Linked DNA regions of Schizosaccharomyces pombe. Changing the gene in region 3 together with the main gene of any one other region gives a genetic interaction. Each region holds a gene or a part of one and is shown on either strand. Other genes may lie near its edges.

Evidence for each region.
Region 1: of rec12 (region 3) and nse1, a mutation in one rescues a mutant of the other (synthetic rescue), as found in Schizosaccharomyces pombe (one study listed by BioGRID).
Region 2: of rec12 (region 3) and mto1, changing one suppresses a phenotype caused by changing the other (phenotypic suppression), as found in Schizosaccharomyces pombe (one study listed by BioGRID).
Region 4: of rec12 (region 3) and fml1, changing one suppresses a phenotype caused by changing the other (phenotypic suppression), as found in Schizosaccharomyces pombe (one study listed by BioGRID).

The regions. Positions count from the first base shown.
Region 1 is NC_003421.2:1,192,007-1,196,975, reverse strand, and holds nse1 (Smc5-6 complex ubiquitin-protein ligase E3 subunit Nse1), read right to left. Parts: upstream 2,990-4,969; 5' UTR 2,780-2,989; coding exon 2,201-2,779; intron 2,153-2,200; coding exon 2,033-2,152; 3' UTR 1,559-2,032; coding exon of another isoform or gene 1,244-1,558; 3' UTR 953-1,243; downstream 1-952. Other genes in the region: protein Hsp10, read left to right, coding at 1,244-1,558; gpi2 (pig-C family GPI synthesis protein), read left to right, coding at 3,905-4,503, 4,562-4,709, 4,756-4,925.
Region 2 is NC_003421.2:1,678,990-1,685,322, forward strand, and holds mto1 (gamma tubulin complex linker Mto1), read right to left. Parts: upstream 4,283-6,333; coding exon 935-4,282; 3' UTR 772-934; downstream 1-771. Other genes in the region: mug27 (protein kinase Mug27/Slk1), read right to left, coding at 1-447. UniProt on the Schizosaccharomyces pombe protein: Spindle pole body (SPB) component that acts as the gamma-tubulin complex-binding protein of the SPB outer plaque.
Region 3 is NC_003424.3:1,770,519-1,774,743, forward strand, and holds rec12 (DNA topoisomerase type II (DSB-forming) Rec12/Spo11), read left to right. Parts: upstream 1-2,406; coding exon 2,407-2,687; exon of another isoform or gene 2,688-2,745; coding exon 2,746-2,854; exon of another isoform or gene 2,855-2,904; coding exon 2,905-2,982; exon of another isoform or gene 2,983-3,046; coding exon 3,047-3,175; exon of another isoform or gene 3,176-3,244; coding exon 3,245-3,685; downstream 3,686-4,225. Other genes in the region: protein hua1, read left to right, coding at 1-347; UBA/TPR/DNAJ domain protein Ucp7, read left to right, coding at 3,740-4,225. UniProt on the Schizosaccharomyces pombe protein: Required for formation of the double-strand breaks (DSBs) that initiate meiotic recombination. Required for crossover recombination and chiasmatic segregation of chromosomes during meiosis I.
Region 4 is NC_003424.3:1,468,631-1,477,072, forward strand, and holds fml1 (ATP-dependent 3' to 5' DNA helicase), read left to right. Parts: upstream 1-2,203; 5' UTR 2,204-2,429; coding exon 2,430-3,878; intron 3,879-3,923; coding exon 3,924-4,753; exon of another isoform or gene 4,754-4,809; coding exon 4,810-5,035; 3' UTR 5,036-5,061; coding exon of another isoform or gene 5,062-5,255; 3' UTR 5,256-5,308; coding exon of another isoform or gene 5,309-5,475; 3' UTR 5,476-5,522; coding exon of another isoform or gene 5,523-5,582; 3' UTR 5,583-5,633; coding exon of another isoform or gene 5,634-5,711; 3' UTR 5,712-5,750; coding exon of another isoform or gene 5,751-5,774; 3' UTR 5,775-5,829; coding exon of another isoform or gene 5,830-5,909; 3' UTR 5,910-6,278; coding exon of another isoform or gene 6,279-6,419; 3' UTR 6,420-6,469; coding exon of another isoform or gene 6,470-7,269; 3' UTR 7,270-7,317; coding exon of another isoform or gene 7,318-7,477; 3' UTR 7,478-7,645; downstream 7,646-8,442. Other genes in the region: Tf2-1 (retrotransposable element/transposon Tf2-type), read left to right, coding at 1-1,218; SPOM_SPAC9.06C (5'-methylthioribulose-1-phosphate dehydratase), read right to left, coding at 5,062-5,255, 5,309-5,475, 5,523-5,582, 5,634-5,711, 5,751-5,774, 5,830-5,909; SPOM_SPAC9.07C (GTPase Rbg1), read right to left, coding at 6,279-6,419, 6,470-7,269, 7,318-7,477. UniProt on the Schizosaccharomyces pombe protein: ATP-dependent DNA helicase involved in DNA damage repair by homologous recombination and in genome maintenance. Capable of unwinding D-loops. Plays a role in limiting crossover recombination during mitotic DNA double-strand break (DSB) repair.

The DNA.
Region 1 (4,969 bases), on a different chromosome or scaffold from region 3:
GGCGTAGCAAACTATGACTTAGTTATCTTAATGATGATGCTTTATGAAGCCAAATCACATGAGTTTTAGATTAGCATATTTCAGCTAGACTTTTCTCCTTGAACCAGTATCATCAATACGGGGGAATTAGAGTATGTCAATAACTGATAGCTTTATTTCGAATTCTTCAATTTTCGACCTTCACCTTTTTAAGTATGCGATAATCAAATTGTCGCTTAACCTCCACAAAATCTCAACCATTTTTGCATCAGTTTACTTTTTTGAGCAAAAATTACCTTAACTGCGTTCAGTGCGTAGAAAACCAGAAATTTCTTACGGTGGTACGGAAACCATCGTTATCGACAAATATCCAACTTGAATGAAGGCTTTCCAACTAAATTATTTGACAGCAATACCATTTTTATATACTCTATCTTTTAATTGTAAAGTAAATGTTAGTAATTCACGACATAACTACACTTACTGTGATTTGCATCACATGTATGATACGTGTCAGTTTTGCAGGACCGTTCTATGTGTAACAGAAGTCGGGCCCAAACAACTATGAATTGGATCTTCCAGATTCAATCAAGCACATGTTTCCATCTACTTTTCATGTTTCTCACCTAGAAAAGTATCGACATAATTCAGAACTCAATTACGCTACCATTGATGAATCCGACATAGGAACAATTCTCCATATCCTAGAACATAAAAATAGAGAACAAGTACTCTATTTAAACGTTAAGTACATTTCGAATCTAAATCCGAGTACTATTATGTCAGGATGGACTACATTAGCTACAGCGCTACAAGCGGACAAAGCAATTGTCAATGATTATATTAAAAACAATAATCTAAATATTTGAGAACATATGACTTATCCTCAGATTTACATAGAAAATCTTGGGGAGGGCAATGTCAGCTATACTACACTATATATTAAATCACAAGGAAAACTCACCGCAGTTCTGCGTGTCGTTAAAACAGATACCAAACTGCGTAGTTAACATTATTAAAATATAGCATATTGGAGCCGAATCTCGCATTGTGTTTTACCGGAACCTTGAGTATTAACGCAAAATAAACTTTTGGTAGAACTTTCCAGATGATCTGCAAAAGATTAATAAGGAGGATCACAGCTTCAACTGAAGCTACTGAGCACTTGCCCAAAACGAACAAGTTTTGACGGAAATATATTGGCATTAACCACAGTTTTTGTATTTGTTAGGCTTTTTTTTAAAATCATTTTGCATTCTTTCACATGGCTACCAAACTGAAATCCGCCAAGTCAATCGTGCCTCTTTTGGATCGTATTCTGGTTCAACGTATCAAGGCCGACACCAAAACCGCTTCTGGTATCTTTCTACCTGAGAAGAGCGTTGAAAAGTTATCCGAAGGTCGTGTTATTTCCGTCGGAAAGGGCGGTTATAACAAGGAAGGTAAACTGGCTCAACCCAGCGTAGCCGTTGGTGATCGTGTCTTGCTGCCTGCTTATGGTGGAAGCAACATCAAGGTGGGCGAAGAGGAGTATTCGTTGTACCGTGATCACGAGTTGTTGGCTATCATCAAGGAATAAATTAATTAATGGGTAATTTTTTCTTCGTCAGCCACTGCCTATTAAGCATACTAAAAAAAAAGCTGTTGGACGCAAAAACATCTTTTGTTATTGTTCTTGCAGCAAATTACGATAAACTGGTACAAGATGGCTTTTTTAACAGCTCTAATTTTAAGGACGATTGCACTCAGATTTAAATGTGATGTAAATGCGGACATTTTTAAAGAAAATGACAGTGATTATGCGTTTGATGATCGATGTCATTTCTCTTTTATTTTTTTGTAAAGAAGATTTTGAGTTCGTGTTTTATGAGTCTAACCCTTCACCTGAATTTTAACGATTTCAGTTTAAAATGCGAGTGTTCTCCACATAGTTTAATTACGAACCCTTTTTTCCAACATTAAAAACTGTTAATTTTATAAGTTTTCTATATCCTTTCCCAAGTAGCCCAAATGTATAAACAAGTAAAGCGAACACCAGTAGGTAGTGAAAAAATTACCAGCGTCCTATAACGGTCGCATTTGCCCATGGCGTGTTACAATTTATACAATTAACATGAGCTAAATGCTTGCAACAGTAAACATGCAAGCAGTAGCCACAATCACATACATATCCCTATAAGGTATTCAGTTAGTAAGTTTGCATTTGTGATATGTATCTTACAGCAATTACAATTTCGCGACAAGCGTTGCATTCGTATAAATTGCTCTCGTATTCGTTGTGTAAATAAGCATCCAATTCAGCTAACGCATGATTCGTAAATGTCCAAATACCCTCTCTCTGTCTTAGCCATCCATCACGTTCAAACGTATGTAAGTGAGACTCAATAACACTAGGTGCCAATCCCATTTCTTTTCTCGATAATTTTTGGATTTGCAGAGTCGTTAATGAATATTGGTAATCATCACACTTCATGATCCATTCGATTATCTTTCTCATAAGTTCTATCTGAACAGGAGGGTAAGGAGTAGCCATTTGGGATACTGGGTCTCCAGATAAATTCTGAAAGTGCAGCGTTAATCTTCCATCCAGTTGATCCTGTACTCGTTTTATCTTAAAATCGAAATTGTGCAAAGAATTGTTCAATTCATTTATTACATCTTCTACAGTTGCCGTTTCTCCATACTGCTCTTGAACAAGTTCACGAACTTGTTCATTATCAACACCAGCTGTGCGACACATTATATATTGAAGAATGAATTTATGCTTGTCAGATAATCCATCTTGTCTCTCTTTCTCCATACCGTTTATTCCTTTTTTTGTATTTCTACTATTTTGATTACTAATTGACGCGTTAATTGACCAATGCAAATTTAAACAAACACGCACAAAACGCCTAGCTTCCTTTCAATTTTTTATCAAATTTTTATGGTCGTTTCGATTTTTTGTCTTAAAATAGTCCGTTCATATATTGACAATCATGAAACATACAGTGTAATGGTATATGTTGGTAGTAGATGAAATCAGTATTCAGTGTGAAACAAAATTTGATTACCATTAAATACGCGCAGCTAGAACAATTTGTGAAAAGCAGCAGATATTCCTTTCTTTTTTTTAAAAAAAATTTATGCTATATATTTTTGTGAAATTTCTTTCTTTATCCTTTTCTTTCTATTGTTTACGCACATAAACATGGTTAGAAAACATACAGATGCAAGCAATGGAACAAGAACATTTATTATATTTATTTTAAAAAAAAAAAAACAGCATATTTTTCTACTGATCATCTTATTGTACCACGCACATTTAGCTTTCAAGTATTTTATAACACTACGAGTTAAACGTACATCAAGAATAGGAAACTAAGAGATAACCTTTTGCAGTTTTTGAATAAGGGAAAGTTAGAAAGAATACACATATTTTTCGTAAAATGTAAACCCTGTTCGTGAAAGTTTACTTTTCGTTGAATTTAGAATAATTGTTTATAATTAATGTTGACTTATTAGCTTACTAGAATGCTTGAATTCGGGTTTATAAGAGTTCAGTCGTAAATTTTATCACTTGAATTGTCAATTGATAGATTAAAGTCCAATTGCGAGTATGCGCGATTGCAGATTTCATGAACAACCCTATATTCAGAGTCATGCAGTTAAATCATTTTCTTGGGAATAAAAACTCTTAACGATGCTGAATGTACTTTTTAAAGTAGATATATATGAATTAAATTAGGAAAGTGTGGTTTATTTGTTTGCGGACCCAAACATACAGTACTAGTCAACTTATATTATAGTCAGTCGATGTTAACCAAATCCAACTACTCTAAGAACTGTTGAAAATACGGTATTGGAAGCAAATTCAGCTTAATTTGTATGAGAGTTTAGGACGAATGTAGTTATTTAGTTGATTTATAAATTACTTTAAAACTGAATGGATGAAGTATGTGCTGCTCCAGCGCCCAAAAAGATGGTCGCGAAATCACTCGTCTTGAACACGTTCAGGAAAGCCTCTGTAAAAGAAGTTGTTGAACTAAAGAAACCTTGGAAAAAGGTTTTATGGAGGAAACAAGATTACCCAGATAACTTCATTGATGAATCTTTTTTGAATGGCTTACAACGAAATGTTAACATTCAAGTCACTGACTTTTGGTCTTTAGTGGCCGATAGTTTACCTGTCTCCCAGCATCTATCAAGCGTAGTTATATTTGCCTCGGTTTTCGTTTCGATCTATAGGAACCAGTTATCTTGTGCGCTTGTTGGTTTCGTGTCAAATGTTTCTGCGGTCGCGGCATTCATTTTGTGGGATTTTGTGTTGAGAAAGCCTTGTAACAATAGAACTTTTCCTAATTACATGGGGATCGTTAAATCTTGTATATTAATTGTTCTTACGCTTGCTGGTCTATCGCCAATTCTAATGTCATTAACAAAATCTACCTCTCCTGACTCAGTTTGGGCTATTGCTGTTTGGCTTTTCCTTGCGAACGTATTTTTTCATGAATATACGACGGAAACTATCAGACCTCATGTCAGGTACGTCTTTGGAAACTTCATCGTAATTAATTCCATTTCTAATTATTTTTCTTTTTAGGCTACACAATTCTTTATCAACAAATGCGGCGCTGAGTGCATCTGTTGTTCTAGCTTCACGACTGGAAAAGTCAATTAATGTATTTTTTTTTATTCTTTTTGCCGTTCATTGGTTTGCACTATTCCCCATTTTTCGCAAATACATTCATGTAAGAAGCAATTTATTGGCCTTTTCTTTTATTTAACCAATTACAGGTTTTCTCTTTTTACGCTGACATGCTTATGACCCTCGTATTGATCATAAGTGCATATATTGCTTTGAATGCTGTTGCATCTGTTGTTATTGCGTTTGTCTTTCTTTCATTAATATTTTTCATTTCGTTTATATGTCCCATTTGGTTTATTAAGCTTCAAAGATTTAAAAAGTATGTAATTATTTTATTTTATTATTTCTTTCTAAATTCTCACA
Region 2 (6,333 bases), on a different chromosome or scaffold from region 3:
AAATGCTCTTTCCCTTCCACAATGCTCTTTCCATAGTCGCTTCTGTTTAGATTGTTTTAATGACGATGTACACGCTGTAAATTCTTCCAATCTTTCCTTCCTTAGTTTATGGTACTCAATTGTGCTAATATAGTAATTGAGGAAGAAAACTTGACAGGCCATCCGCTTTCTTCTTGTCTCGGGTCGACTAAGTATTTCAACTTCACTGGGCTTTAGTAATTGGTAGTAAGTTAAACCTTTAGGATCATTTCTTTTCGTCCAGCAATTTTGTCTTTCTTCGTTGAGCACCATGCGTTCATTTTTCGAAGACACACTTGCTGACGCATTTTCCCTGTCTCGTAAATAGCCGCTTGATAGTAAAAATAAATCAGAAAATTCGACTCCATTTTCTTTTGCCTTTGATACTAGTTTGTTATTGTCTAATTCTTTAAGGCCCAGTAGGTCCATTCTATGTTTGTGGAATCGTTCTATAAAATTGTCCCAAGTGAATTGCTTTTTCCATGCAATGGATTCTTTCCTTTTTTTGCTCCTATTCAAGTTTATGTGAGCTCAATTTTGAAATTTATTTTGAGTACACGTTGTGCCTGAATAAAACTCGATTCTCCCAGCAAATGTAAACAAACACCGGGTTCTGGGAATTTTTACAAAGATGATACATGCGCAGTAAAATTTACTTAAAAAAGGTTAAATAAAAAATTATATTTCGAATTCTTTTGCGCGATTAAAATAAATTTTTTTTACGAATATGTGTGATTATTTCCTTTATAATCAGGGAGATACAAACACCAAAATGGTTAATCGAGAACAAAAAAAAATAAAAAATAAATATAAATCTTGGAATTAGCTTATTTTGTCAATTAAATTCTCCAACTAAGTAGATATGTACTGGTGATTAAGAAAAGCTATATACTTCAACCGCAAACTATCCAGATTATTATTTATGTTCTTGTGATGATATAGAAGGAGACCTAGAATTGCTTTCTTTATCCGTTTTTATTTGCCTTGAAAGACTCCTGTTTTGTCGAATCAAATCTTGAAGCCTTTCTCTGGCACCCAACTTGTCTCTTTTACGACCTTCTTGCTCAGCCTTGAGTTGAAACTCCATCTCTCTTAGTCTCAACTGCCATATATGGCTCATTCCTTCAGCATCTCGTTTCAAAGCTGTGATACCTCTTTGAACTGCTGACTTATCTGGAGAAGCGGGAACAAGCTTTTTATCCTCGGAATCCAAACTAACGCGTTTTGAAGCCCTTGGCGAATTTGGAATAGATGAAGTTGACCCAGCGCCTAAAAGTTTCACTCGTTCTTCCAACTGTGATAAACGCTTACTTCTAGCCTCAAGTACACCATCAAGCTTCCTGAGTTCGGTCTTAAATTCCCGCTCCATTGATTGACACTTCCGTTTGAATTCTTGAATGGATTTGTCCAACTCCCTAAAATTCATATTTACTGCCTGATTCATGCTTGAAATTGTCGTCAATGCTTCAACGTTGGTATTTACAGGCTTACTTCCCGTATTCAGTTGGGTAAAACGAGTGACAATGTTTTTTATGAGGGAATTTCTTTCTTCCACTTGCTCTTTAAGGCGTTTTTCAGATGCTTGTAAAAGTTTAAGTTCTCTAGATTGACTCCTTTCAGAAGGACTGGAAGATCCAGAGAGGTTTCTTCTGAAAGCTTGTGAAGACAAATTTTCCAACTCTAATTGGATTGCTTTTTTGGATCGTCTTTCCGCATCCAGTAAGTTCTTTAACTCCTTCTTTTCAGACACTAACGTCTCCAAAGAGTTTGTTTTTTCTTTTAAACTTTGCTCACAATGGTAGATTTTTTTCATCAACTTATCAGTACCAGACTGATCCTTTTTATTCTCATCTTTTAGTTTTCTTATCTGTTGTACCAAATGGTTAACCGAGCAGTGGGTGACCTGTTTATCAAATGTTTCCATAATAGCATTCTGCAAAGAATCGAAATTTTCGCGAAGGGTAACGTATTGATTATTTCTTTCCTCAATCTCACTTTTTAAAGAAGAGTTTGATGACAATATACCTTCAAATTCACGAAGTTTTTTATTTAATGAATCTAATTCGTCATTGTGCCTTTCCTTCAAGTTGCTAAGATAATCGGCTAACGATTCTTTACTCGTTGTAACGCTTTCCATTTCAGTTTTTAACTGACTAAGTTGATCATTTAACGACTCAATTTGCTCATTGAGTAAAAGTTTGTTATCGTTACTTTTCACCAGCTCGCTTTCTTTCAAAGCAATTACTTGCTTGTTTTCTTCATTTTCCTTCCTTAAAGAATCAACTTCTGCTTCTGTCATTTTCAACTGTTCAAGAAGATTTGATGTCTTTGAAGTTGAATCTTCCTTCGCTTTATTATTTTCTTCTTCCAAAGTTTGCAGCCGCTTTTGTAATTCGTCAAATTCATGGCATTTATCGTTATAACGTTCTGACAATTGGGTAATTTCATCAGTAAGCTTTTCAACCTCTTCTTTGAATAAAGAGATACTCTCCTCATTTTCCCGTATTGTTTTCTCGAATTTCTCAATTTCACGCTCTGCTTCAGTCCTAAGTTTACCTACTACTTCTTCGTAATCATCAGACTCTTTTGAAGACTTTGACAGCACCTCTTTGGTATCCTGGAGTTCTTGGGTAATCTCTTCGACATATTCCTGGAGTTGGTCAACATCTTCCCGCCATTGTTGCTCCATTCTCATCAATTTATTTTCATAATCCTCTTCAATATCTTGCAACTGTTTATATAAACGAGTAAGTTCAATTGATTGCTCTTGGGTTTTCATTCTAGATACCATCATAGAATCCCACAATTCATTCTTGCTTGATTCTGCCTCTACAATCGCATTCATCTTCCCTGAATTCAAAGCAACGGTAAGCTCCTCCACTTGTTTAACCAGGCGATCATTTTCCTGCTTGCGAAGTAGTAATGCTTCATTTTGCATAGATATGTCCATCCTCAACAGTTCATTACTACGCTGAAGTGTTTCAATAACACGCTCATCAGTATTTTTTGCAGGCATAGGAACTTTTTTGGATAACTGTACGCGAAGGGATTCCAACTCTTGCAATAGAGCTTCCTTTTCCCGCCGTTCGTTATCAAGCATATTTGACAGTACATTACGATCTTCATTGTATGCCCCAACAGAATAATTCGTCTTCTTTGATTTTTCTTTTCTCAAAGCCGCAAACGCTCTTTTGGTAGTTTCAAGCTCTGAAAGAGCCTGCGAATACCTCGATTGAAGAGTAATTAGGTTTGAAGGGGCCGGGCTGGGGGTGGAAAGGTTAAAAGACTGATCAGGCTTAATCCGGCTTTCTAATCCAGATATTTTTTTCTCATAGCCTGCAACGGCTCGTTGAAGCTCCATAGTAAGGGTCTTCAAATCGATGTTTTGCTTCATAATATCTTGAACCTCCTGATCGTGGAATTTATTTAATTGATCGTATAGAAAGTAGCATTTCAGTTTCAACCCAAACACTTCCTTTCTCAAATTATCAATCACGTTTGCTTGTTCCTTTAAAGTTAAGGAGGAGCCGGGCTGAGATTCCTCAAACTCTTTGGCAAGTGCATTTTTCCTGTCTTTTAGGTCTTTCATAGCAGACGCCGGTATCAATATATCGGAGATCTTTTTGCTTAAAGCATTGGTAGTGGGGGCATCTTGAGAATGTAAATAATTTCGTTCTTCTTTTATTGGGGTTAATTGCAAATCATCTTCATCATCCAAATGAGGTAACTGATCTAGAGAAGAAGAGATATAGTTCGGACTTGAAGGGTCCGAAGTATAATCGTAATTATTGTAACTATCTTCTTCATACTGCTCTTGGCTCTGAAACCCTTGATTAGCCGTAAGTACGGGAGAAAGCTGTTCATCATCAGTAGTAATGTTGTCATTGAGACGATCAAAATTCGTAGTATCCAAAAAAAAAGGTGCAACAGAACTATTTCCCTCCTCGTCCTCGCTATTCAATTTATTGACTGATTCATCGGGAGATTGAAGCGGAGTAGAGCTCGTTGGAGCAGTAGCATTTTGATGGAGACGAGGTGATCCAGAATCAGATTTTAAAGAATCTCTATCAATTTCAAAATCATACTTATGAGAAGCTTCTTCCGAATCTTCGTCTTTTGATGTAGAAGAGGGTAATTGCCGAGATCCTTCCTTTCTGGGTGATAAAATGCGACGAACTTCCTCGTCCGTCAGCGAAAGACCAGCTAAATTATCCACTAGAACATTAAAGTTATTACTATCTAACTCACTGGAATTTTCTTCCATAATTGATTAGAAAACGAACTTCGACATAAGCAAATCCAAAGCAGTAGGCATTGACTCTTGTAACAATTTCAAAGGAGCGATTTTTGAATAAGAAATTAATTCTTTCTTAAATTGTTAATTGTTAAAAGAAAGTATGGGATCGAAGATATGCCTATTGATACGCTATGGCATATATGTAGTGGCAGTAGTTCTCAATGGCTGTCTCTACTTGACGCATGTTAGACTAACGATCAACAAAGTAGTAGACTTGTAATTGCGGACTTTACAATTTTAGAAGGTTTAATGTTTGTGTTAGAAGCAGATATTTTCAAAAGAAGTTAATGAAATTAATTATACATTTGCACACACTCGTTTACATTATAAATAGCCATGTTATTTGGCATGCCTATGGCACATACACAAAACAATAGTACATACATTGATGATATGTAAAACGTAACTATGATTTTCATTAGATTAACTCTCCTCAAGTTAAGGTATGTTAACCTCATTTCACACTGTGAATCCTAAGTATATTAATTATTGATGGAATAAACGTTAAAAACACTAAAGTCCGCTACGATTATGCTTGAGTACATAGGTTTTCACGAACAAGCGTAAATTTGCTTTCCTACGTATAGTTGGTATGTAGCCTGAAATTATTTGTTTCAGTCTCTATTTTCACCGTGTTACATGATGCTACATTTCGATGATTTCAATCGCAACGGTAAATTGAACTATGAATATACGAACAAATATACTTTTCATTAAGAGAACATTTTTAATTTGCATAGTGTGTTCGAAACTTGAATTGAGTGAATGCGAAAATAAAGTCCTCTACAACTCATCAACTTGAGATATGTAGAGCAGCTGAAAAAAAATAATAATAAATAAATAAGTATATGTAAATTAATTTATCTAAGTAAATTAAGTTAATACTACTCAGTATTTTTTTTAATACAACAAAGAAAAGCATTCTTTCTATTAAGCGAAGGATTTTTTTTTTTTTTAAATCAATTACAATCATCACTTACTAGAATGAACCAACTAGTTGAAAACTTTCTTTTCTTTTCAATTTTTTTTTTTATTCAAGCTGATCATTGATCTGATATGTTTTCTTCAAACATTAATTCCATGAAATTGTTTAAAAAAATTTGCGAAAAAAAAAGTTGACAGGTATGTAAATATTACTAATATAGATTATTACAAAATAAAAGAGAAACTTGGCATCATCACTCGCTCTACATAATTTTTATTAAGTAAAAATGGTAATACATAAAAACTGCTTCAAACTCGTCAGTTACGTACTCTGCTAAATCGGTTAAGGTGTCAGCAATATTACATACGCTGCGATACACAACGCTGAATATCACTATATGCTACATATTCTAATTATACCATAGATGATACGATATTACGATTGTTCCTAATGAAATTATAATAAGTTCTATACTATCTGAATAATGCAAATGGAAGCACAATTGAAATGAAGAACGAGGATCAGTTATACGCTATATTAGTGATAGGTAAAAATATAACCTGTATAACAGAATAACTATACCCCAGTTGCGACCTTTATGACCCGCGTATTGCAATATGAATGATTATAAATATGTATTAAGATATTTGTAATAATGTAATACATTACTATGAATGCACTTAAATTAACTCGCGAATGAACTCATAAACGGAGTTCATTTGAGTTTACTTATAGAAATTCAATGAAGGATATATCTATATTCACCTTATATAAATGATGCGGGTATATAACGATCCAATATACAATCATTACAGTTCTGACTCTGAAAATATGATGTCCGACAGCAGCTATCTGAATGCGATTATGCCGACCCTATGCTAAATTCATTTAGTGCTACTGCATCATGTTATGCGACCAAAACCATATTATTGCCAGAGGTCATTTAGCCACGGAAAGCTTACAAGCAACATATGTTGAAAAGAAGAGTTACAGCGTCAAAAATCGTTCTTAACAACGCAGTGTGGTATTAGTTTAACGAGACATAAGGACCGCGTCGATTTGTTCATGGCATGCTTTATCTATAGTGATATCT
Region 3 (4,225 bases):
ATCAGACCAGCCAATTTTATGCTCGCCCTCAGTCATCTTACGCACCGCCTCCTTCTGGTCGACCAAGGATTTCATATCCATATCCACCTGGCTATATGTGTTACAAATGCCACAATACTGGCTACAAAGATAGCGGAAGGCCATGTGGTCGTTGCGCTCGTAGATTTGGACGATCGTACGATGTTCAATTCAGTCGACCACCTCCTGGTGCACTAGTTGTTTATCCTGGTGACCCTCGAATTCCTGGAAGGGTTTGCGGGAATTGCAAAGGCAGTGGTCAACTTGACTTTATATTCTTTACCGAAATTTGCCCGGTATGCAATGGTGTTGGAAAAATTCCCTACTAAATCAACTGCTGAGCAAAACTGATACTCCATTAAGTTCTTGTTCATATATGACATACTCTTGTAATTATTATTTATTTGAAATGAGCGACAAGACTCATTTCTCAATTTAAATATTTGAATAATTTTAAAACATTTTTTGAATGTTGCGATTTTATTCATTCTATAATTTACCAGTTTTACGACAATCCCTTTTAAGCATTCTTTCCCACCAACCCATATCATAGAGCCCCTTTTATATGCTTATTGCTCATATCGAAAATGTCTTCGTTTTTTGGGTTTGTTTATGAATTCGTGAATTTTTAATTTGGTCATAGTTTTGACCATTAAGTTTGTTTTCCAAAAATGCTCTTTCCTTATCTACTTCGTTTATGCTTTGGAAAATTTCTTCTAAATAATATCTACGGGACTTCCTAATTCTTAAAATTGCAAAATCCGTCCGTGTTCTAAGTATTTATTTATTTTACTATTGTCTAAGTATATCGGAATGATTCTCAGAGCTTTGCACTTCTTTTTCCCTAAATTTTCTATTAACTTTTATCTTTTTGTTATTGTATTAACTTACAAAAGTAATACCGGTTCATCATGCAAAATTCCATGTTTTAACAGTTGTCATAACCTCTATCTTTTCTGTATAAGAAAGGGTAACTGTAAACCACAGTGCTATTGTTGCCTAATTGTTTCTACGTTTTCTTGAGTATTAAATACTTATTAAGAAGAAGCAAAAAAAAAAAACTTGATGAAATTATTCTCCTTTAGAAACCCTTGCTCATTTTTTATCTAGTTCGTCCTGTTTATCTGCTATGCCACAAGTACAAATTTCGGGAAGCAATATGGAGTGCCTATTTTCATTATTGTTTTCCATTGATGTCATTAGAATATTATCGTTATTTGTACATCAGATTAATTGCTATCTTCTGTTCTCGCAATAAGTTAAAAAAGCTATCACTATTGTCTTGACGAAGTATTGCACCATAATAAATGACTATTAATGAATCAAGCAAACACACTACATATGGCAACTTTTAAGCTTAAAAAATTCGTTAAAGACCCATTTGGATAGGTAGCATTTTCGTACAATTGTATGTTCTCCAATTTTATTTTTTCATTTGCAAAAGCAAACCACTGTCAGTTTCTCTTTAGGGCTGGCACAAGGAAAGCATATGCTAACATATACATCGAGCAGATAGTGAGTTAGACTACTTCTTCATGTTTAGTGTTGCAAATGACTTAGTAATTCCTGATTTGAAAATCTGTAAACTAGAAACAATCTTAAATTGGATTGGAGGATATTTCAAACTGTCTTATCAAAATTAAAATGAAAGTCCTTCTTGTTTATATATATACCTTTTGTATAAAAAGGTCAGTTTCATTCATATTTTTAACATTAATGTTATTATAAATAGGTTTAAATAATCATCAAGTTAACAGTTGGTCGCATGATGTAGTCGGTTATCATGTCGATCTAATAAGTCGAATGTCGCCAGTTCGAACCTGGCTGTGACCATGTTTTTTAATTACGTTTTCTCTCTTGACAAAGGAGTTGGCAAAACGAAATTATAAGTACAATATTTATTGAAACAGTTGATATACATATTTTTATAGAAAATTAAAACTATAGAAATAAATTAAGTAACCGCTTGATCTATGGCTCTTAGTTGTCGTATGTTGCATTTGAACTCGAAAGAGTTCAAATATATTTACTTTTCTTTCAACTTTTCTGTAGACAAGAACATAAGTTGTTTAGGAATTTCAAATTTCGATCCATCTTTACGATTTACCAATTCAGTCCGCAAAGCTCGCGTGAGTCTTCTCTTACACCATTTTATCAGAAGGAAAGTCTTCAGTAAGTATTTTTTAGCAGTTAACGAAAACACATATACTGTTTCGCCTTGATATTACCCATTTATTGAATGTATGTATCATTTCTTCAGAAAACAATCTCGCTTAGATATAGCTTATTTGAATTAAGCTATTGATTTTTTACACTGTAACCATACGCGCTTTGCATAATTATCTAGACAATGCAAAGAATGCTGAACGCGTCCAGAAAGTAAAAAAAATGAATTCGAATGATAAAAAAAAAGTTGTTAGATCATGGATTGAGCAATTTGTTCATGATTTTGTTGAGCAATTAAGTAAGCCTACCAAAGATTCAGTAAATGTTGCTTTGAAAAGACGAAAGCACAATTCTTGGAATGGCAGCTTAGATTCAAAGGCCAATGAAAGACAAAAAGTTAAGGTTTTTTCATTCCCCAGGAATGAAACAACAATTGCTCAACTATTCAGGGTTTTAGATTGTGTTCATGAAGCTGTTATTTCGGATACAGTAATCACTAAGCGGTAATTGCTTTGTACTATACGCCGAAAATTCAGATTTAAGTTCTAATTACATTTGCAGAGATATTTATTACAGAGATGTAGATTTATTCAAGCGACAAACCGTAGTCGATGAGCTGCTTGGAGATATTTCAAACACCATTGGTTGCTCCAGGTCCGACCTTAACGTTGTAAGTCATTTCTTTGGAAATAGATTCATTAACGATTAATTTGATCTTAGGAAGCATCTGCTAAAGGATTGGTATTTGGGTCCATTCATATTGCTCTTGAAAACGGGACAGTAATTACTGCTACTAAAGTAGGTTCAAGTTTTAATAACCGTAAAAATTGTTTTTTCTAACTAAGAATTTTACTAAATACAGCCATTATTAATCTCTCACCATCGAATTTCATCAATCACTTCCACAGCAAAATGGGTCTTGGTCATCGAAAAGGAAGCGGTATTCCAAACGCTAACCGAAGAGGCTTTAGCGGATACAATAATTGTTACAGTAAGTGAGAATGCTTCCTTTTCAATGATATTGATGTTAGAGTGCTAGCTAACTAATTGCTTGTAACAGGCTAAAGGATTTCCAGATTTGATGACGAGAAAATTTTTAGTTAAATTAGCCAAAGCCCTCCCGGATGCTAAATTTTTTGGTATTTTTGATTGGGACCCCCATGGCTTATGCATTTATTCCTGTTTCAAGTACGGTTCTAATGCCTACAGTCATGAACCGCACAGTCAATTACGAAATTTACAGCTTTTAGGCCCTCTGTATGAGGACATTTTTAATAAAAACCAAGAATTCTCTTTAAAATTGAATAAAAGGGATATTAAAATGATTACAACATTATTACAATTTGAAGGCTTCCAAAAGGAGCCCGTTGTTCGTGAACAGCTACAGCGAATGCTGTTTATCCAGAAAAAAGCGGAAATACAAGCAATTCTAGAATTTCCTTCATGGATCAAAGGAAAATTAGCTGATGCCGACAAAAGTGGAAAGCACTCAGTACGTTAAGTTCTTGGATAGTTCAACCTACTTTCACTACACTCCCATAATAAAGCCTCCAACATGGATGACTTGCTAGATTTCAATTTTTACGATAAATCTACACCATCTAATCAAAATAATTACAGTAATAATAATAGTAGAACGCCATCCTACTCCCTTCCCGCCCCAGTAGCCCAGAAAAAGAATGCACAAATTCCATTGAAAGCATCAAAGCCCGAAGACCCTTTTGCTAATTTATTTCAAAAGAAAACGGATAATAAAATTTCCTTAAAAGAACTAGAAAGGCAGAAAGTTGGAACTCCGGACTCCAATTCCACCCCCAAATCTTCAAATTACGATCCCTTTGAAAACCTTGAAATTTTGCATCAATTATCAAATACTCCTAGAGATAAAGATGCAGTTATTCATGATAAGATTGAAGAAAATAAAAGGCCGATTTCACAACCACAAGTATCGGCTTCCGAGAAAGTAACTTTAAAGGATTTGTCTTTAGAGCCGCATCAGCCTGTCAGTTTACCCGCCTTTGAGAATATTGGTTCGGAAACC
Region 4 (8,442 bases), 300 kb from region 3:
GGCATTGAACTTCTTACAAACATTATATTACGTAGATTTACGTGGAAAGGAATAAGAAAACAAATACAAGAATATGTACAGAACTGCCATACATGTCAAATAAACAAATCTAGGAATCATAAACCTTATGGACCTTTACAACCAATTCCCCCATCAGAAAGACCTTGGGAATCTTTATCAATGGATTTTATTACAGCTTTACCAGAATCATCTGGTTATAATGCACTTTTCGTGGTAGTTGACCGATTTTCAAAAATGGCAATCTTAGTACCTTGTACGAAATCCATTACAGCAGAGCAAACAGCTCGAATGTTTGATCAACGAGTTATTGCTTATTTCGGCAATCCAAAAGAAATCATTGCAGATAATGATCATATTTTTACTTCCCAAACGTGGAAAGATTTCGCACATAAATATAATTTCGTTATGAAATTTTCGTTACCATACAGACCACAAACTGATGGACAAACTGAGCGTACAAACCAAACTGTGGAGAAATTACTAAGATGTGTATGTAGCACACATCCAAATACATGGGTAGATCATATATCCCTAGTGCAACAATCTTACAACAATGCGATACATTCAGCAACTCAAATGACACCTTTTGAGATAGTACATCGCTATTCACCAGCTTTATCACCTTTAGAGTTACCTAGCTTTAGTGACAAAACTGACGAAAACTCTCAGGAAACGATCCAAGTATTTCAAACAGTTAAAGAACACTTGAATACAAACAACATAAAGATGAAAAAGTATTTCGATATGAAAATACAAGAAATTGAAGAATTTCAACCTGGAGACCTAGTTATGGTCAAAAGAACGAAAACAGGTTTTCTTCATAAATCCAATAAATTAGCACCTAGTTTTGCAGGACCGTTCTATGTGTTACAGAAGTCGGGTCCAAACAACTATGAATTGGATCTTCCAGATTCAATCAAGCACATGTTTTCATCTACTTTTCATGTTTCTCACCTAGAAAAGTATCGACATAATTCAGAACTCAATTACGCTACCATTGATGAGTCTGATATTGGAACAATTCTTCATATCCTAGAACATAAAAACAGAGAACAAGTACTCTACTTAAATGTCAAGTACATTTCGAATCTAAATCCGAGTACTATTATGTCAGGATGGACTACATTAGCTACAGCGCTACAAGCGGACAAAGCAATTGTCAATGATTATATTAAAAACAATAATCTAAATATCTGAGAACATATGACTTATCCTCAGATTTACATAGAAAATCTTGGGGAGGGCAATGTCAGCAATACTACACTACGCTATAATACACTACGTTGAGTATCACTATATGTCACATGTTCTAATTATATATCGTACCATGTATGATACGATATGGAGATTGATCTTAATGATAATCTATTAAGATCAATATTATCTGAATACTATAAATAGAGCTACTGCTGAACCTCGTTCCTCAGTTCAGTTATGAGCTATATTAGTGATAGGTAACATTATAACCCAGTTAATACAATACCTATACTCAGTTGCTACTTATACAACCTGTGTATTGTAATATAATAGATCACAAGGAAAACTCACCGCAGTTCTACGTATCCTTAAATCAGATACCAAACTGCGTAGCTTACAATTTCATAGAAGTATGACCTTTGAACAAAATCACTATTTCACTTAATGCAGTGCTTAAATTCTTTAATTTATACTTAGTGAATCAGTAAATTTAAAATACGTTAAATGGCTTTATGGAATTTCCAAAGGAACTCTTCGAAGAGGAAATTTCAAATTATGTGATAGATTAAAGATTATGGCTATTATTCGATAAATGAGTGTTTTTTTACTCACTTGATGTGTGATATGTTACCACAAACAAAGTCCAATTTTGAAGGTACAAACATCAGAAAGTCCTGAATTCTAGCAACATTAGTCTATGTACGGACACTTTTCAACTCGTTTTACTTCATCTAGCTAATCATTTTCTTTAATCTAAGAGCCATTACATGTCTTTCTGATAGGATTTGTTCGGCTATGCTTGTTATTTGTTTATCGTATAGAGAGCGACTTATAGTGAATATATACAAAAACCATTATGATGATATACGAATTCTATATCGGTTATTAGGTGCTTCCCTAATACAATACTACACCCGCGCAATAATTCGTTATAACAAATCGTTACTGAAAAGACATGGAATATACACATTGGCAATGTAATTTTAAACATAATTAACTTCATTACTTTCTCATGAAGTTAATTGTATCTTAAACCATTTGAGGGAAAAAACTTGTCCTTTACAATTACTTCCGACAATAAAGGACGCTTTGCAGTGAATGTCTTATGGAATTGTTGTATTTGACGACTGACGAAACGAAGTACCTTAGCAAAATTCGTTTTTAAGTAATTCCAGCTAAATTTTTGCTAACAATATAAATCATTGATAAGGATGTCCGATGATTCTTTTAGTAGTGATGAAGACTGGGACGAATTGGACACCCAAGTAGTTGATAAAATTGAGAATGAATATCATAATAACACGATAGGTTTAAATGGATACTCAGTTGATGAATATTTTGATGCCAACGATTCCAATAGATATCGTCTACAACACGAGTTAGATGAAAGTGCAGCACAGCAATGGGTATACCCTATAAACGTCTCCTTTCGAGATTATCAGTTTAATATTGTCCAAAAAGCTTTATTTGAAAATGTACTTGTAGCTTTGCCAACAGGTTTAGGTAAAACATTTATTGCAGCCGTTGTGATGATGAATTATCTTCGTTGGTTTCCAAAAAGTTACATTGTTTTCATGGCTCCTACTAAACCATTGGTTACACAACAAATGGAAGCTTGCTATAAAATCACTGGAATTCCAAAGAGTCAAACTGCTGAATTAAGTGGACACGTTCCTGTTACAACTCGAAATCAGTATTATCAAAGTCGAAATGTTTTCTTCGTAACTCCTCAAACCATTTTAAACGACATCAAGCATGGAATTTGCGATCGGACTCGTATATCTTGTTTAGTAATTGATGAAGCACATCGTAGTACTGGAAATTACGCTTATGTGGAAGTTGTTCATCTACTTTCTCTTAGCAACAAAAATTTCCGTATACTGGCTCTTAGTGCTACCCCCGGAAATAAGTTAGAAGCAATTCAGAATGTAATTGATTCTCTTCATATATCCAGGATTGAGATTAGAACTGAAAACAGCATTGATATATCGCAATACGTTCAGAAGAAAGAGGTGGATTTTTTTCCTGTAGATTTGTCTGCAGAGATTACAGATATAAGAGATCGATTTTCTTCTATATTGGAACCTATGCTTCAAAAATTGAACAAGGGTAATTATTATCGAATTCAGAATGCTAAAGACATAACTTCTTTCACTGTGGTTCAAGCTAAACAAGCTTTTCTTGCAATGTCTGGTCAAAACTTTCCTGCTAATCAAAAATGGGATATTTTAAATACTTTTGATGCATTAGCGACTTTTGCCTATCCTTTAAATTTGTTACTCAACCATGGTATCCGACCGTTTTATCAAAAATTGCGAGAGGTAGAAGAAGAATGCTTTGTAGGAAGATCAGGTTATAAGAAACGCATAATAAATCACGAAAATTATCGTCCTTTAATGGACGATATAGAAATTTTGTTGCGAGATCAGTCTTTTGTCGGACATCCCAAACTAGAGCATTTGGAACGTATTGTTACAGAATATTTTGAAAAAGAACAAACCAAGGATACCAGAATTATGATTTTTGTTGAAATCCGCTCTAGCGCCGAAGAGATTTTACGATTTTTGGGTAAATTTTATCCAAATGTGAGACCAGCTATTTTTATTGGACAATCTGCTGTGAGAAAGGCTGCTGGAATGTCTCAAAAATTACAGAATGAAGTATGTAATCTGAAAATGATGGATCCTTAACTAACTAATCTCTAGACTGTGAAACAATTTCAAAAAGGTGAAGTCAATACTTTAATAGCTACCTCTATTGGAGAAGAGGGTTTGGACATAGGTGAAGTAGACATGATCATATGTTACGATGCATCTGCTTCTCCTATAAGGATGTTACAAAGAATGGGCAGAACTGGGAGAAAAAGGAAAGGTTATATTTATATGCTTTTGACGCGAGGCAAAGAAGAAGCAAAATGGGAGAGAGCCAAAGACGCTTATCGAACTTTGCAAGATAATATTGTCAGTGGTCGCGGTCTCAGCCTATCGGAAAAAAGTTATAGAATTTTACCAGAAAAGTTTCGCCCGGTTTGTGATAAACGAGTCATAGAAATTCCCAAAGAAAATGAAGAAGTTGTAGTAGCTCCAAAGAAAGTGCAATTGAGAACGAAAATAAAAAAGAAATTTTTCATGCCAGAAAATGCCTTGAATGGATTTATTACTGCGTCCGCTTTAGGTAAACCGAAACGTGCTTTAGCCAAGTCTGAAGAATCACCGTTCGAGATATGTCCCGTTACATATAGCATTGAACAAGAAAAGAAACTGGAAAAATATAAGCGTGTTTGCTTAAGAGGTTTGGATATTCATAGAAATAGGAGGTTATCTCAATTGAGTGTTACAGGACGGATACCGCATTCTCTAGCTACGAAAAGTATACATTCATTTTTAAAGCATTTAAATACTATAGATTCGCAAAAGGCTCAGGAGTGGAGAAGAGAAATAAACAACCAATTCCAAGTATCAAATATCAACTCGACGGATCGTGACACAAAACAGCCAAAGATGCATGACTTTAGACAACCTTTACACCCAAATCCGTAAGTGTTTAAACTATTGAGTTGTTTAACGATAATTACAGATTATTAACATACAGGATGACAACTTTGAAAAGGAAAGGACAACATAATTCATTTTCTTACGACAAGTCTACACTGTTTTATGACAACAACAATAATTTAGAGGAAGACCTCCCGGATGTAAATATTTCTATATCTTCAAGGAATGAAGAAGCATCCAAGACAAAACCATTTGACGACCGACAACAACGCCTTCAGCAACTCGTAGAGAAAAGGAAACGTATGAAAGGAATGCTGATTTAGAGAATTAAATAGTGTTTAGAAATAGCCTACAACGTTTTCAATTTGTAGTCTAACTCAAAAAGATATTCGTAGCATTCCATTTGAGTTTTTGATTTTTCCCATGTTGCTCCCCAACCGATAACCCCATGTCCACGAATAAGAACAGCACATGTTTGTGGATAAAGCTCGATGACTTTTTTTAGTTCATCTAATATTGTTTTACTATCGCCATTGTGGATAACTACATAATCAGTATTCAGATACCAGTCAACACCAACAGAAAACACAACTTACTAGGAACCTCTAGAGTATCAAAACAGCAAAGATAGCCTGCTGAAGGATTTCCCTTTGGAATTCCTTTGATCATTTCCTTAGATTGTGTAGTAAATTTCTCATTATACATCGATGCTCCGACTGCAGCGACTGAAGTAGAATATATACAGGCTACTGCATCCATATTACTTTTGATGTGTTAAAAATTGCTGTAAATAGAAAAAATGATGCATACCTCAAAACCCATGAGAAAATGTAGGCCCAATTGACTAAATCCTTGGTGACTGACTGATTGCTGTATAAAAGGTTAGATACTAATTGGAGCTGATCCAAATGAATAATTTACCTTAAATTAAAGGTCACGATATCGTTTTCCGTTATGAAGTCTCTTTGAACCCTGTCCTTAACGCAAATTGCATAACCACTAAATGTTAACAAAATCGTTTGAATACCGTACAATTACTTGTTCTTTAGACAAAAGTTTCCACTAAATACCAATTAGCTTTAAAAAATTACTGAACATTAAACGTCTTGAACGCTACCTGCCAAATTTCATCCATCCAAGACTGTAAAAATGAGGAATAAGTTCAAGAATCAAATTTTTCTCTAATTGGAGACTCATTCTTCTAAAATTTTCAACTTTAACCTTTAAAAGTTCCCGTACTATACTCAGAAATGATTTATTTAATGATCGGTTCTTTCAGCAAAGTGAGTAGCGTTTCATAAGTTGCGTTTGCAAATTTGATATTAAAAAGTAATTGAAGGAAGACATATGTCACAAAACACTCTACACAATCATTCATTAAGCTTATAATACACGAAAACTTTTACTTTAAAGAAAAAACAATTTGAACAAATAACGAAATAAATTACCATCTAAAATTTTAAGTCATTGTAACCCACCTATTAGAGTAACCAGTTAAATAAGTTTTCAGGCCTATATATTCCAATACTGGGAAACCAAGGAAAGTAAGATGTTAGGAAAAAAGACTTATTTTTTGACAATCGTCACTACATCCTCATCCAACAGTACATGAGATAAACCAACACGCATGCCAGGATAAGGAACGCTTTTTCCCCAAACATAAGCATGTTTAAACTGGGATTTGATACTTGAATGAATATTGTTACACTAAAGAAGTTAGCAACACGAAGATCGGCAGAAGCAATTCGAAAACTTACAAAATCCTCGACAGTAGAATGGCCAGTACGAAGGATAACAGGTTCGCTGTAATCAGGTTCAAGACCTCTAGGGCGTGTATAGACTCTAACCAAATTCAAATAGTCCCACATCGTTTCTTTAAGTTCGTCAATGTTCCAACCCCTGTTACCACAAATGGGTACGGCGTTAGGAATACGATCAATCAAATCAAGTTCTTCAATAGAAATTGAATCAATTTTATTTAACACGTAAAGTGCCGGGATATAAACGCGATTTCCTTCCAAGACATCAATCAAATCATCAATGGTGGCATCACAACGAAAAGCAATGTCAGCAGAGTTAACACGATATTCGCTGCAAACAGCACGAATTTCGTCCAAATCAATATGAGTCAAGGGGACAGTATTGGTGATATTGATACCACCACGTTCTTTCTTTTTGAATACAATGTTGGGGGGTTCCTTATTTAATCTTATACCAAATCCTTCCAATTCCTCTTCAATAATACGCTTATGAGACATTGGTTTCAATACATCCAAAACAATAAATATAAGGTTGCAAGTACGTGCAACAGTAATAACTTGTTTACCACGACCACGACCATCTTTGGCACCCTCGATAATACCAGGCAAATCCAAAATTTGAATTTTTGCACCATTGTATTGCAAAACACCCGGAACCGTTGTTAAAGTTGTAAATTCATATGCAGCGGCTTCACTTCTCGTTCCTGTAAGCTGAGTCATGAGTGTACTTTTACCGACGGAGGGAAATCCAATGAAACCTACAGTACCAATACCGGTACGAGCAACATCGAAACCAACTAAGAAAGATTAGTACTCCAAACAAAAATTTGACGTTCAGTACATACGCCCTCCACCACCTCCTCCACCGGTAGGGGTGATCAATTCACGTTTCAATTTTGCAAGCTTGGCCTTTAACATTCCCAAGTGCTTAGCCGTAGCTTTATTTTTTTGGGTTTTGGCCATTTCATCTTCAACTTCTTTTATTTTTTGCGCCGTAGTCGCCATTTTGTTTTTTTATTATATATGAAAATGCTATGAAAATGGTGAAAAGAAAATTCTATAACTAAGTACGTATAAGATCTTTTGCATTATTGAGTGCTAAGCAACCCTCTTTATTTTATATTAGTGTATTAAACCACATTACAACAGCCAAACTATTATTAAGATACCAGGTAGAATATCACGTTGGATCTCGATATTTGTTCCTTGTTGTAAGTAAATAAAAAAATATGTGAAATATTGAATCCAGTTATTCAATAGAATTTCATAAATAAATCTTTTTTCTTTTGCGTGTCTTTTTTTATGCGTTAGATCAATATAAAATATGTATGTATATAAAAAGTTGATAATTTTGTTTTGTTTTTCTTACACAATTTTAATGCAAATATTAAATAAATAAGATTGCAAAAAAGTAGTTGCTGATTGCGCAAAAGCTTGGATTAACAGTATTTTTTGATAAATAAAAAAAGAAATAAATAAATTTAGTATGTTCTAAGTCAACGGCAAATGAATTATTATTCAGGGGTTGAAGATAATGTCAGTTAACAAGGTTAATTATCGGGTCAGGGTAATAATTAAAAATTAAATAAATAAAAAATATCTGCGGCTGTTGCGTATAAACAGTAGACGGATGAGCAATTATCCCCAATAGCCTAAATACAAAATATAAGAACACATAGTAGAAACTACAAAAACATTTTTACCGGCAACAATAACCTCGTTGATATAGTGGTATTGTTGATAACTCAAAAAGCCCCAGCGTTTTGTGCGCGAAAATTATATTAATATTAACGAAAGCGAATATGCTGAATATGTATAAATCTGCAGAAGATACATATGTATCATTAATTTTTCTATGTACAATATTGTAAGCAACATAACTGATCGGAACAGGAAAAGTAGATGAGAAGAGGGAAACGGTTAGGATAGCGTGAAATTCAAGATCAATGCGAAAGAAATAAATTATAAGG